Linked DNA regions of Mus musculus. The protein of the gene in region 1 purifies or fractionates together with the protein of each later gene. This does not show direct contact. Links are inferred from orthologs where the notes say so. Each region holds a gene or a part of one and is shown on either strand. Other genes may lie near its edges.

Region 1 (4,227 bases):
ACCTTCCTATTGCTTCCTCATGTTGTGGTGACCTCAAACAAAATAATTGCATTGCTACTTCATAACTGTAATTTTGCTACTGTTATGAATTACAGTGTTAATACCTAATAGACAGGATATCAGATAGTTGGGGGGGGGTCTCGACTCACAGGTTGAGAACCACTGTTGTTGGCAGGGTGTGGTTATGCCACTAGTGTTTTGGGAAGTGGAGGCAGGAAAATGGTTAAGTTCAAGGGCAGGCAGCTGGGTTACTAGTCCTCTTTTTTTTTTTTTTTTTAAAGATTTATTTTACTTATATGAGCACACTGTAGCTGTCTTCAGACACACCAGAAAGGGCCATCAGATCCCATTACAGATGGTTGTGAGCCACCATGTGGTTGCTGGGAATTGAACTCAGGACCTCTGGAAGAGCAGTCAGTGCTCTTAACTGCTGAGCCATCTCTCCAGCCCACTAGTCCTCTCTTAAACAAGTCATCAAACCCATTCTTTGCCTCTCCCACTGTCCACACTGTACTTCAATAGTTTAAGATCTTTCACTAGACAACTGTTAGCCTCCTCACAGAACGTCACAGCCTACTCCCCACAAGCCAACTGTGACAACCAAAATGACTCTGAAATTGCCTACAACACCCCCTGGTGCATCAAAGTTGTCCAAAGTGACAATCACTGCTCGAAACTGATTCCATAACAAACACTGCCCTATGCAGTAGCAGAAAAGTTAAGTCCCAAAATGACAGCGCAAGATTGTTACACCAAGAAAACCGGTGCGCACACACAAACACAAACTCACAGACATATCAACAATCCCGTCCTTCAACTCTCTTGGGCATGTGTACTAAAATCATCATTTCTCCTTAAGCTCGAATTCTGAAAAATCTGTACACTGTATTAAGTTTAGCCCACTGTATAGATAGTTAAGCTCCCATTAGAAAATTACGAGAATCTAAGGGGGACAATATGGTTGTTTGTGCTCAAGTCAGTCTTTTCTTGGAGTAGATAATAATAGGAACTTTCGTGGGTAAAATCACTGTCTACACCTCAGGGTATCGAGCCCCTTAAACAACATCCACTAAATAAAATAACCACAAGGGAAACAACTAACCATGCATGCGTTCTTATGGACAGAAAATGATCACACTCTTTAAATTCCCCGTCCTTTCAGAACTTATCCAAAGATACCGCCAAGTTAGAACAGGACTTTTCCGGGGCGGTTAAGATATCTTCAAAAACTTAGTACTAAAAACTCCAAAGGCCAGGTTGAGAGTAGTCCAATGAAACCACACGAGTCACAAAAGCCATCCAGAGCGCAGATCGCCGACCCAGACCCTTACCTTCAGACGTTTGATCATTTCATCGGTGGTGATCTTGTCGGTGATCTCTTTTACTCCCGGAGGGTAAGCGATCTTCCCGTCCGCACTCACGACGCCACAGAGGGCAGTGGCAGGCTTCGGCTGCGTGAAGTCCATCCTGGGGAATAACTTTTCTCTCACAGTCCTCTACCGGCCTCTATCGGTCAGAAAATCAAAGTTCAGCGGGAAAAGGGGCGACTTTGTAACCTCTTTTTCATTTCAAAAATCTCTAATCTAGAAAGGGCCCTTTCTTCCCCCCGAGGCCGGGGACCCCGCCACTCGCTCCTTCCCTGGGTTTCGGACCCGGCTAGGCGTCCGCCACCCCCACCCGAGCCAGCCCCGGTGCCACGGGGTTCTCGGCTGCAGCAGCCCCGGCCGCGAGAGGCGCCGAGCAGCTCCCGGAGTTTCCTAGCCCTCTTTTCACAATGAAATGTATCCCCGAGCACCTAGGACGGAAGTTTGGTGGCCTCGGGGGGACATTGAGGACCCAACGGCCCCACTTGGCTCAGGAGAAGCGGCTGGGTCCCCGCCTGGCCGGTCACCTCCGGGAAAGGAGACTCGAGGCCTAGAGGGTTCAGCTTAGGCCGCAAAACTAGGTACCCAAGAGGACCCACGCGCGGCGCCGGCGCCCGGGAGCAGAACGCCATAGCCGTGCCGAGCCCCGGGCTCCCGGCGTCCCCGCCGCGCGGCCGCCCCTCCCCGGCCAGCCCGCCACCCCCGCCAGCCGCCCGAGCCCCTCGCCAGGAAGCGAAGGACCCGGCTCCGCACTTCACATTTTTGTTCCTTAACTTCAGCAACCGAGCCCGGCGGCATCTCAAGCCCCTCGGTCGCCCGGCGCTCCTCGGCACCGCCAAGGCCTGAGCCGCCGCTCCGGGCAACCCCGCCGGGCCTCCGCGCGCGCCCTCCCCTGCGGTCTCCCCTTCCGTCCCTCCCTCGCCGCCGAGGGCGCGAGCCCGGCCGCCGCTTTACCTCCTCCTCATGCGGGCGGACGGTGCAGCGAGCGCCGGGCCTCTGTCAGGTGGTTGCGCCGCCGCCGCCGCCCCTCGTCGGGCTGCACACAAAGCGGCTCCGTCCGTCCCGCCGCCGCCGCCGCCGCCGCCCGCCCGCCCCGGAGCGGCGCTGGGGCTGGCGGTGCCGAGGAGCAGCCGCCGCGGGGGGAGAAGCGGGCCGAGCGTGCGCCGGCCGGGGCGACACTGCCGCTCTCCGTCGGGCTGAGGAAGCGCAGCCTCGGCCGCGGCTCCTCCGAGAGCCCGCGCGCGGGTGCACGCCCGCGCGTCCCCCGCGCCCGCCCGGCCGCTCGCTCGCTCGCCGGCCGGCCGCCCGCACCTCGCGCCCACCCGCACCAGACGCCCTCTCGCCGCGGCGCGCTCCCGGCCCGCCCGTGCCCCGCGGAGCCTGAGCGTCGCCGCGCACAGCCGGAGCCCGTCACGCGAGCGGCGCGAGAGCCCGCGAGAGCACCGCGCGCCTCGCTCCCGCCCCTTCTTCCGCCGGCCGAGCCCCCGCCTCCCTCGAGCCCGACGCGGCCGCGCGCGTGGTGGACAGCGCCGCCACCCGTTTGGCGCCAAGACCTGCCCGCGCGGGCGCCTCCGGGGGGCCGGCAGCCGAGCCGGCGCGCGGAGGAGGAGCCCCGGTGGCGGGAAGCGGACCCCGGGAGGCGCGGCTTTGCGACACTCCCGGCCACCGCTGTCGCGGAGTCCGGGGCTCTTGAAGGCTTGGCTGGCGGGGATGTGACCGGACCGGTGGAGAAATGGTTAATTATCTGGAGAAACGGCTGCTTTCCCCTCCAAACAGAGCTCTGGAAGCCGAGGCAAAGTTTTACAACTCGGGCTGCTCATTCTCGCGTCTTCCGGAGAGTCGCCCTAGGTCGCAGCCTACGACCTTAGTTAGACTCCTACCATTAAGGTTTTCAAAGCTGCAAAATAGGAAGTTGGCATGCGATCTCAAGCTATGGTGCCGGGGCTTCTGGCCTCCCAGTCATTTTGGGTACAGGCTGAAAACACAGACTAGGGTTCCTGATAGTGAAGCCCAGAAGAAGAAAGAGGGAGGGTGTTTTTAGAGATTTACAAATTACCTATGTGAATCTGAGACCTCTTTTTTTTTTTTAAGTTGTGAATACACCAAAGCTCTACTTTTTCTCTCCTCCAAAGGAAAGGCTTGCCAAAGAAAACTTAGTGCAGCGGTGCTTGAGCAATTTAAGGTAAATATTGAAGCGAATGAACCTGAACAATACACACATAATTTCAGGAAACCACCTTTTAAAACAATAAGCAAGCCGGGCAGTGGTGGCACACGCCTTTAATCCCAGCACTTGGGAGGCAAAGGCAGGCGGATTTCTGAGTTCGAAGCCAGCCTGGTCTACAGAGTGAGTTCCCGGACAGCCAGGGACAGCCAGGGCTACACAGAGAACCGTCTCAAAAAAACAAAAACAATAAGCAGAAGGGGGTGATGGTGGTGCACGCCCTTAATCCTAGCATTTGGGAGATAGAGGCAAGCGGATCTCTTGAGTTCAAGGCACCCTGGTCAATCGAGCTAGCTCCAGGACGTCAGACAGCCAGGGCAACAAAGAACCCCTGTCTCAAAAAAAGTAAAAAATATTAATAATAATAATGAAAAGAGGAAGAAGCTAGGCCGTTATGGTTCACGCCTTTCAACGGGAGGCAGAGGCAGGCAAATCTTTGATTTCGAGGCTAGCCTGGTCTACAGAGTAAGTTCCAGGATGGCCAGGGAAACCCTATCTCAAAAAAACAGAAAGAAGAAGCTGGCAGCAATTGAATTTATACATTGTTCTTTAAAATGCCCACCTTTTAACTGGCCTATGGTTGCAGCTAAATCAAAAGATTTAGGCAAGAGGATTTTTTTGAACTCAAGATTTCCAGTA
Region 2 (4,061 bases), on another chromosome or scaffold:
AATTACCCAATTTAGCTTATCCAAAAGCCTTAGGAAACAGGTATTTCCTCTGCTTTAAAGCGGAAGAAACCTAGTCATTCCTTAAGTTAAAACTGTCAGCGAGTCCTTTACTTCAACTGACAGGATGACAAAACAGTCTCCGTATCATCAGGCTTCAAGCCCAAAGTCCTTCATTCTGCTACTCGTTTGTTAAAACCTTAAAAAATAAACCTCGTGGGGCTGGGGACTTGACCCAGCTGAGAGTGTGCTCGCCAGGCACGCACAAGACCTTCAGCTCAAACCCAAACTCTCAAGTAAACCAGGTGTGGAAGTACACACTTGTAATTCCAGCACTCTGAAGATGGAGGCAGGAAGATCAGAAAGTCAGATTTGAAACCAGGCTGGGATATGAGATCCTATCTTAAAAACAAACGAACAACAAAAACCCAAGATCTACTTGGTGCTCAATAAGTGGCACATCTATCAGTATTCAATCTGGAGTCAACTCTCTCTCCAGTTGCAGCAGAGCTAGTAAATCACATAAATTGGAATTAGTCTTGTAACCACCAATTTCCAATCTTTGGACTTCTCCCTTGATTTTCAAGGATCACATCTCACAAGTACAATCCTCTTTTACTATAGTCATTAAGTGTTGGAAAGATTCTTCTAATGCAAATGTTAACAATAACTATATACCAATAAAACATCTCAAGGAATGGCATCTTGAGAACACTCATGCACTAGTGATGAAGATGAAAAAAAATGTACCATAAATGTGTAACCAAAAATAAATTTACAAAGTGGGAATCAGAGATCAAAAAATGCTTCATGGTGCCAAGCTTTGAAGGGTATGCAGAGGCAGAAAGCAGGTGTGGTAAAACACAGCTATAAATCTAGCACTTGGGAGGTAGGGGCAAGAGGATTTAAGAGTTTGAGGCCATAAGAAATTATCTCCAAAACAAACAAACAAACAAAAGGTGGGACAGTGGTGGCACACACCTTTAATCCCAGCACTAGGGAGGCAGAGGCAAGTGGATCTCTGTGGGATGGAGGCCACCTTGGTCTACAGAGGAAGTTCCAGGACAGTCAAGACTACACAGAGAAGCCCTGTCTGGCAACCCCTCCCCCTCAAAAAATAGAGAGGTAAGAACCCAGGCCTGTTCCAAACAGCTGGATTTTTAATTCTAACAACGCTGAGAGAACTCGATTTCAACAAGTGGTACAACCAAGCATTTTCTACAAGAGTCACAAGACCAAAATCCTAAGAAATTTAGTGGAACTCAAAGCATCAACCCTCTAGGCCAGTGGTTCTTAAACCGTAGTAGGGGAAGTAAGTAACCCGTCATTACCACCCCCACCCGCACTCCAAACTCTGACATTGTCCGAACACATTTTTGATGGGCATTTCAGGGGAGTGGAGGTGCTGTCATTTAGTGGAGAGAGGTCAGGAAAACAGCTAAACATTCTACAATGCACAGAACCAACCGCACAGAGAAAGTGTGTGGCTAAAGAGCTAGTGTTAGGAAACAATGCTCTAGACAGAGAACAAAACCGCAAGCAAGAGTCCAGTGAAGGTATTCGCTATGAGCTACTTCAAGGTAAGGGTGGCCTAGCAGGCTAGAAAATGAGTAAACTAGAATATCTCTGGAGTGGAGGAACACAGCAAAGATTCATAACGAATACTTCTAGAGATGGGTGAGAGGAAACTACGAGCTATACAGCAAAAACTAAGATATGAAATAGTAGGCTTAAGTATGAAAAAGTAGGGTTACTATCAAAGTCACTCTAACTTATCAGCCTAACCCCTTTTCTACAAAACATTTATAATGGCCTAAGTGTTATCTTATTTTGTACTTTGCTTCTCCTTTCCCGCGATCTCGGATTTGCTCTCCCCGCATAAACTTAACTGATAAAACCCCAAACCCTCCACCAATTTGGCAAGCGAACAAGTTCAGGCTTATTTACGGTTTTCTGGTAGGAAAAAGGCAAATCAAAGCAACAATCTCTTAGGCGTGTGGGGGGCATGCGGAGGGGTGGGGGGCATCGCAATCCCACGCTGCTGAGCGGAACGCTGGGTCAGAAATTCAAAAGTGCCACAGCAGAGAGGGGGGGGGGGAAAGGAATCAGAGTGGAGCGTTCCATCGGGAGGTGCGGGTGCGGGGAGGGCTGAGTAGAGCACAAAGTACACAGCTTGGGATCGGACGCCAAAGCAGAGTTACGGTTCCCAAATTTTCCCAGAGGTGTCAAACAAGTTTAGGAAGGTGGAACAATGCAGACCGGAAGGAAGCCGCGGGCCAAACAACTGGCAGCAAATTTCGGGAACGCCTCTTTTGGCGGGAGGGGTAGTGGGCGGGGCGACGCACGGTTCGGCCCATACCATTCGGGCCAGAGGGGGTCTGCGCCGAACTCCGCCAACTGACAGTTGGGAAGAGACTCGAGTTCAGTGTATGCCAAAAGGGAAAGCAAGTTCAGATCCAAGCCCCACCAAGAGGATCAAGGAACATTTCAGGGTTCACAATGTCTCGGGTTGCATGGGGGTAGGTTGTACTACTTTGCAGACAAGCAGGGGGAACCGGACCGGGACGCGCGCAGGGCCACAGCCGGTTTTAATCTCACCAGAGCCATTGGGTCCAATGATGGCGGTAAACCTCTGAAATGGTCCGATAATCTGTCGACCCTTGTACGATTTAAAGTTCTCGATCTCAATCAGTTTCAGGAAACCCATGACAGCGGCGCTGGCGTAGGAAAGGCCGCGCCTTACTCCTGGGAACGAGGTTAGCCCGCGCGGGAAATAGCGCAGTGCAAGCCGGGTGTACAGTAAGCCTCGCGATAATAAGTCCAAGCCAATCACGATTTCCTGTTTCCGGGGCCAGAAATGGTCACTTCCGCCTGAAATAGCGCTTTTGTTGAATTGTTGCCCGGCTGGAGCACGCGCTGGGCGCTCAGGCCCCGCCCCTCTACGTAGTTACCCAGCAACTGTTGAAGTGGCCGCCAACTAGGACGGGAAGCGTTAGTGCTCTGATCACTTCGGGGGAAATCAGAGCAAGCAGGCGGGGTCTGAGCCCACGCTTGCTGGGAAAGAAGTCACTTCAAGGTTCTGCCAGAGCTAGTGGGAGGCAGAAGCTCGGCTGGGGTTTGTAGTCTAGCCAGCAAGGGGGGAGACGGGGAGAAGCGCTTCAGCCAAGGATTCAGTCGGGAATGGGAAGGCGCCCTCGGAAGGGTGGGCAGTTTGGGATGGAAGAGGGATCAAAGGGAGGACTTAGATGAGGCGAGCTTAGAGTGTGAGGACGATGAGAGTATCTCTTAGACAACAGAGATACAAGTTGGGAAAGGCTGTGTTCTGAAATACTGCCCCTATCGTCTGCTTCTCTCTTATTTCTCCAAGCAGAATTTAAAGACTGCCGTTGTAAATCCAAGAGTCAACTTGGGTCCAATCCATTTTCGAGCTTCAAAACTGGAATTCTGTACTGAGAAAGGTATCTTGTGTGAACACTAGGAGTCCAGGTCCTTAAGCCAGTGCTCCAGCTCTGTCCTTTTCCCTCCCTGTTAAATCAAGTTTCCCCCATTTCCACCACTTCCCCTCTGTCTCTTTCCCTCCCCCTTTCTCTCCTCTCTCCCTCCCTTTCTCTTTCTCTCTCCTCTCTCCCTTCCTCTCCCCCTCCCCTCTCTCTCCTCTCCTTCCCTCTCCCTCTCTCCTCCCTCCCTCTCTCGCTCCAACTCTGTCCTTTTCCCTCCATTACATCAAGTTTCCCCCATTTCCACCTCTTCACCTCTCTCTCTCCCTCCCTCTTTCTCTCCCTCTCCCCCCTCTCTCTCCCCTCCTTCCCTCTCCCTCCCTCTTTTTCTCCTCTCTCCCCCCTCTCTTCCTCTCTCCTCTCTCTCCTTTATACCCTGTCCTTCTCCAATTCTTTTCCATCCCCTTTTTCTTCATTCTTTCATTCCCCTTCTATCACCTTATAGTCATGATCTTAGCAGCCCAGGATGTCTACTGAATCATCCCCCTATTGTGACAACAGATTGTCTTTATAGGCCGGGGTTAGTGCCATTTTCAGTTAGATATGGAAAGAGTCTGGTGGTTTCCA
Region 3 (4,063 bases), on another chromosome or scaffold:
AAGCTGGTTGGGAAGCTAGGTGGGGTAGTGCATGCCTTTAACCCTAGCACTAGGGTGGGGGTTGAATCTCGGTGAGTTTGAGGCCTGCCTGGTCTTCAAAGCAAGTTCTAGGACTTGAAAACCCACCTCCACCATCACAAGATGGCTGGGATTATCTCAACAGCAGGGTACCTGCTTAGTACTGCCCTGGGATAGATCTCCAGCACCACACACATCAGAATAACAAATCAAACTGGCAATTTGCCTCACGTCTGCAATTCCCAGGACACTGAGAAATACCAGGCAGGAAGAGTACCAAAGCCAGCCAGCAACACAACCCTGGTCAGAGAGCAAAGCACCACTGGGTACACTTGGGAGATTGAAAAATCAGGAATTCAAAACCAGCTTTACGCACATACTAAATTCAGGGCCAGGCTTGGCCACAGGTAACCCTGGCTGTCTTGGAACTCACTCTGTAGACCAAGCTAGCCTATAAGTCAAAAGAGATCCACTTGCCTCTGCCTTCTGAGTGCTGGAATTAAAGGTGTGCACCAGCACCCAGCACCTTTTACACTGCGTATGCATGTGTCCGGAAGAGGGCGTTGGATACTCTCAAACTGAAGCTGTAGGTGTGTAGGGTCCATCTGATGGAATCTGAAAACTGCTTTTACCCAGAACCATCTTTCCAGCCCCTACACATAACTCATTCTATAACCATAAAACAAACAAACAAACAAACAAAACATAAATAAACACTCAGCAAAACAACCTTATCACTCTGTGGACCAGGCTGGCCTAAAACTCCGAGATCCGCCTGCCTCTGCCTCCCAAATCTTGCGACTAAAGGCGTGCGCCATCACAACATCACAACAAAACAGTGGCAAAACAGTCTACAGAAGCCCAGTGGTTAAACCATAACTTTTTAAGAAAAATAGTGAGAATGTTCAGAGCATAAAGAACTAGAAATGAGGGGTTGGGGTTGGGGATTTAGCTCAGTGGTTTTCAGCTCTGGGGAACAAAACAAAACAAAACAAAAAAACCCAAAAAAAAAAAGAAATGAATGACACCCATAGGCAGGAAACAAGACTGGTAACTACAGTCAGTCCTGGTAGCATGCCCATCTCTAAGATTTGAATCTATCTGCAGAGACTGGTGCAGGTGGATCTCTATGAATTTGAGGCCAGTCTGGTCTACCGTAACTTCCAGTTCAGGAAACAGTGTTATACACTGAGACCTAAACTGACAAGCCATGAAGCAGTTGCCTGGGTAGAAGTGTATGCCTACCCTCTAAGGGTAAATCCTACACAAATAAACAGAAATAAACAGAACTGAACTCACCCTAGGACTTCTTCGAACCGTGTGGACATCTGGGACCTGTAGGGATGACATCAACTGATCAATCAATAGCTAAGCCCAGTTTTGACATCTCACTCCCAAAGCCTTCTCTCAGCCCCTCACCTCTACTGCATGAGCTACGATCTTCTTCAAGACGATGGCCTTTCTGACTGGGACCGCTGGAGTTGTCTGGGGGGGGTAAAAGAAAGTATTATCCATGAGCTTTACAATAGTTCAAAGCCCTCTAGGTCAGTGTAAAAGTACTTTGGGAGCCGGGCAGTGGTGGTGCACGCCTTTAATCCCAGCACTTGGGAGGCAGAGGAAGGTGGATCTTTGAGTTCGAAGCCGGCCAGGTCTACTAAGTAAGTGAGTTCCAGGACAGCCAGGGCTATACAGAGAAACGTTGTCTCGAGGAAAAAAAAAAAAAGTACTTTGGGGGTGTTGCTGAGAAAAGTTTTCCTTATCTTCTATCCAAGACTTCTCAGCCTCTAAGCCTGGTTCTAAGTTTGTAAGTTCTTGCACCATGTTGGGCACCAACTGTGGAAGCATTGGGCGGGAGTTTTTTGACTCCCTTGCTCCCAAATAACTGCAGGGCATTTCTTCCCCCCAACGCCACTACCTCCTGAGTAAAGGACACAGAGCTGTTATTCAAAGGCTGCTGGCACTATGTTGGGCAGGTTCTGAGCTACTCTAACCCTCTCAGGCTGCCTATCTACCAGTCACACGGTCCTCTACCTGAATCTCAGTCTTACTCTGACTCAATCTGGTCCATGTGTGCCCTCATGACTGCTCTCTCCCTCCTCTTGACCTTAGAGTGAAACCACCTGCTCTCTCCGCGCCTCCCCCTCTCCCACTTCTCTCTCCCTAGACTCTTCCGGACGCCTCAATGGGCGCTGATGTCCCGCCTCCTCTGTCCTCTCCTGCCCAGCCATAGGCTGATCAGCTCTTTATCAACCAATCAGAGATGATTTAAAAAAAAAAAAACAACAGTGAGCCCGGAGGTGCTAGTTAGCCGGACTAAGGATACCTAGGCATAGAAATTAGCATCTGAATACGCAGCGCACAAACCCAACCCCAACACCTGGGGGACCAGGAACTCACCCTCGGCCAGATTTCAGAGAACGAGTTCGGGAGATCTGAGCCAGATTTCCGCTTGGACGACTTCGAAGGCTTAGTAAGTGAAGTCCTGGGCCCTGGAAAGGAAAACACGTTTGATGGTGAGCAAAACTTTGCTCGAAGAAAAGGCGACAAACAAACGAAACAAGATGCTTGACGAGTTCGGAAAAGCAAAAGTCGTTTTCCAACTACCCCTTTGGGGCGTCTTCCACCGGGAGCCAAGTTTTGTTCCCCAAACAACCCCGCTCCACTGCTCCCGTGCTCACCAGACCGCTGGGCAGCCCCTCCTGATCGTGTTCGCCGCTCCGCCATGTGTACGGTCGGGCTCAGTCTCCGCCGCGGTCGCCTACTCAGGCTCGCGCCAACCGGGAACTTTGCTGCTTCAAACGTTCAAATTGCCCGCCTTGCTAGCGAGAAAGCGGAAGTGACACAGGCCGGAGGCGGACCATCCGCTTTTGTTGTCACAGGCTTTACGTCTAGCTAGCAAAAGGCAGAGGCGTATCCTGCGGCGCTGTGGCGTCATCAGCGTGCGCCGCACCCGGAAGAGACGTGGCAGCGGAGGGATAATCAGGCCGGACCTGAAGGGAGCGGAGCTGCAGCTACCGGAGTTGGTGAGCTCAGTCCCCGGCCTTCCGCGCTTTTCATTACCGTACGCACCGGTCACGATCGGCATCGCGGAGGTTCGCGGACATCCAGAATGTGGTCGGCCAGCTGGGGGCGGGTCAAGAGGGGGTGGGTCTTGGGGGCGGGGCTGGTGGTATTGGAGCTGTGCAGAGATCTGGCGAGGGCCTTCCTGGGTCTTGATGGAATGAAGGGTCGGTCGTTTGTGGTACGATCTGTACAGGAGACGTGGCTTTACCCATGCTAAGGCATTATGCTAGAATTTGGTGTTGGGACTGGTGTGAGACGGGACTGAGAGATTTAAAAGAAGAGAACTGGGTTGGTGAAAACAAACTGGCAGCCACCAAAACCTGGCTTCCTGCTAACTGATTTCACCCCACCACACCCTCCAGGATCGGTCATGGGACTTTGCAAGTGCCCCAAGAGGAAGGTGACGAACCTGTTCTGCTTCGAACACCGAGTTAACGTCTGCGAGCACTGCCTAGTAGCCAATCACGCCAAGGTGGGGCGTTTAGAGCAGTGTCTGAGCAGGGCGGGTGGGTGGGCAGACAAGATTGCCTACTTCTAAATCCATGTGGGGACCTATGCTAGACTGTAAGCTCCACAAGGGCAAGAACATGGGGTGTGATGCGCTCTGCTATGCCTTCAGTAGCTGCTCAATAAATGGTCACTCAATAAATGGAACAGATGAAATGATGAGTCTGATGAGAGAAAACGAGGCATTTGAGCCTTGGAGTGGTGTGTGCATCGTGGAGCCTGGGGCACCAGTTGTGACATCTCTCTCCCACTCCAGTGCATCGTGCAGTCCTACTTGCAGTGGCTACAAGATAGTGACTACAACCCCAATTGCCGCCTGTGCAACACACCCCTGGCCAGTCGGGAGACCACCCGTCTTGTTTGCTATGGTGAGGCCTGGGAAGGGGTCAGGGCAGCCCCAGGATCCAGCTTGGATACAGGTTTGATAGCATCTTTCAAGAAGCAAGACAGTGAGTCCCTCAAGCGTGGAGGTCAG

The links. Proteins that work in one complex are often made in the same cells at the same time.
Region 2: the proteins of Pds5a (region 1) and Smc1a purify together in Homo sapiens (co-immunoprecipitation; 8 studies listed by BioGRID and IntAct, with this or other methods). This does not show direct contact. The link is inferred for Mus musculus from reciprocal best matches to the Homo sapiens genes PDS5A and SMC1A.
Region 3: the proteins of Pds5a (region 1) and Cdca5 purify together in Homo sapiens (affinity purification with mass spectrometry; 4 studies listed by BioGRID and IntAct, with this or other methods). This does not show direct contact. The link is inferred for Mus musculus from reciprocal best matches to the Homo sapiens genes PDS5A and CDCA5.

Annotation. Positions count from the first base shown.
Region 1 is NC_000071.6:65,695,432-65,699,658, forward strand, and holds the start of Pds5a (sister chromatid cohesion protein PDS5 homolog A), read right to left. Parts: upstream 2,806-4,227; 5' UTR 2,319-2,805; intron 1,507-2,318; 5' UTR 1,467-1,506; coding exon 1,332-1,466; intron 1-1,331. UniProt on the Homo sapiens protein: Probable regulator of sister chromatid cohesion in mitosis which may stabilize cohesin complex association with chromatin. May couple sister chromatid cohesion during mitosis to DNA replication.
Region 2 is NC_000086.7:152,015,175-152,019,235, reverse strand, and holds the start of Smc1a (structural maintenance of chromosomes protein 1A), read right to left. Parts: upstream 2,809-4,061; 5' UTR 2,705-2,808; coding exon 2,596-2,704; intron 2,517-2,595; exon of another isoform or gene 2,350-2,516; intron 1-2,349. UniProt on the Homo sapiens protein: Involved in chromosome cohesion during cell cycle and in DNA repair. Central component of cohesin complex. The cohesin complex is required for the cohesion of sister chromatids after DNA replication.
Region 3 is NC_000085.6:6,083,842-6,087,904, reverse strand, and holds the start of Cdca5 (sororin), read right to left. Parts: upstream 2,809-4,063; 5' UTR 2,743-2,808; coding exon 2,697-2,742; intron 2,508-2,696; coding exon 2,416-2,507; intron 1,504-2,415; coding exon 1,438-1,503; intron 1,354-1,437; coding exon 1,318-1,353; intron 1-1,317. Other genes in the region: Zfpl1 (zinc finger protein-like 1), read left to right, coding at 3,452-3,553, 3,845-3,956. UniProt on the Homo sapiens protein: Regulator of sister chromatid cohesion in mitosis stabilizing cohesin complex association with chromatin. May antagonize the action of WAPL which stimulates cohesin dissociation from chromatin.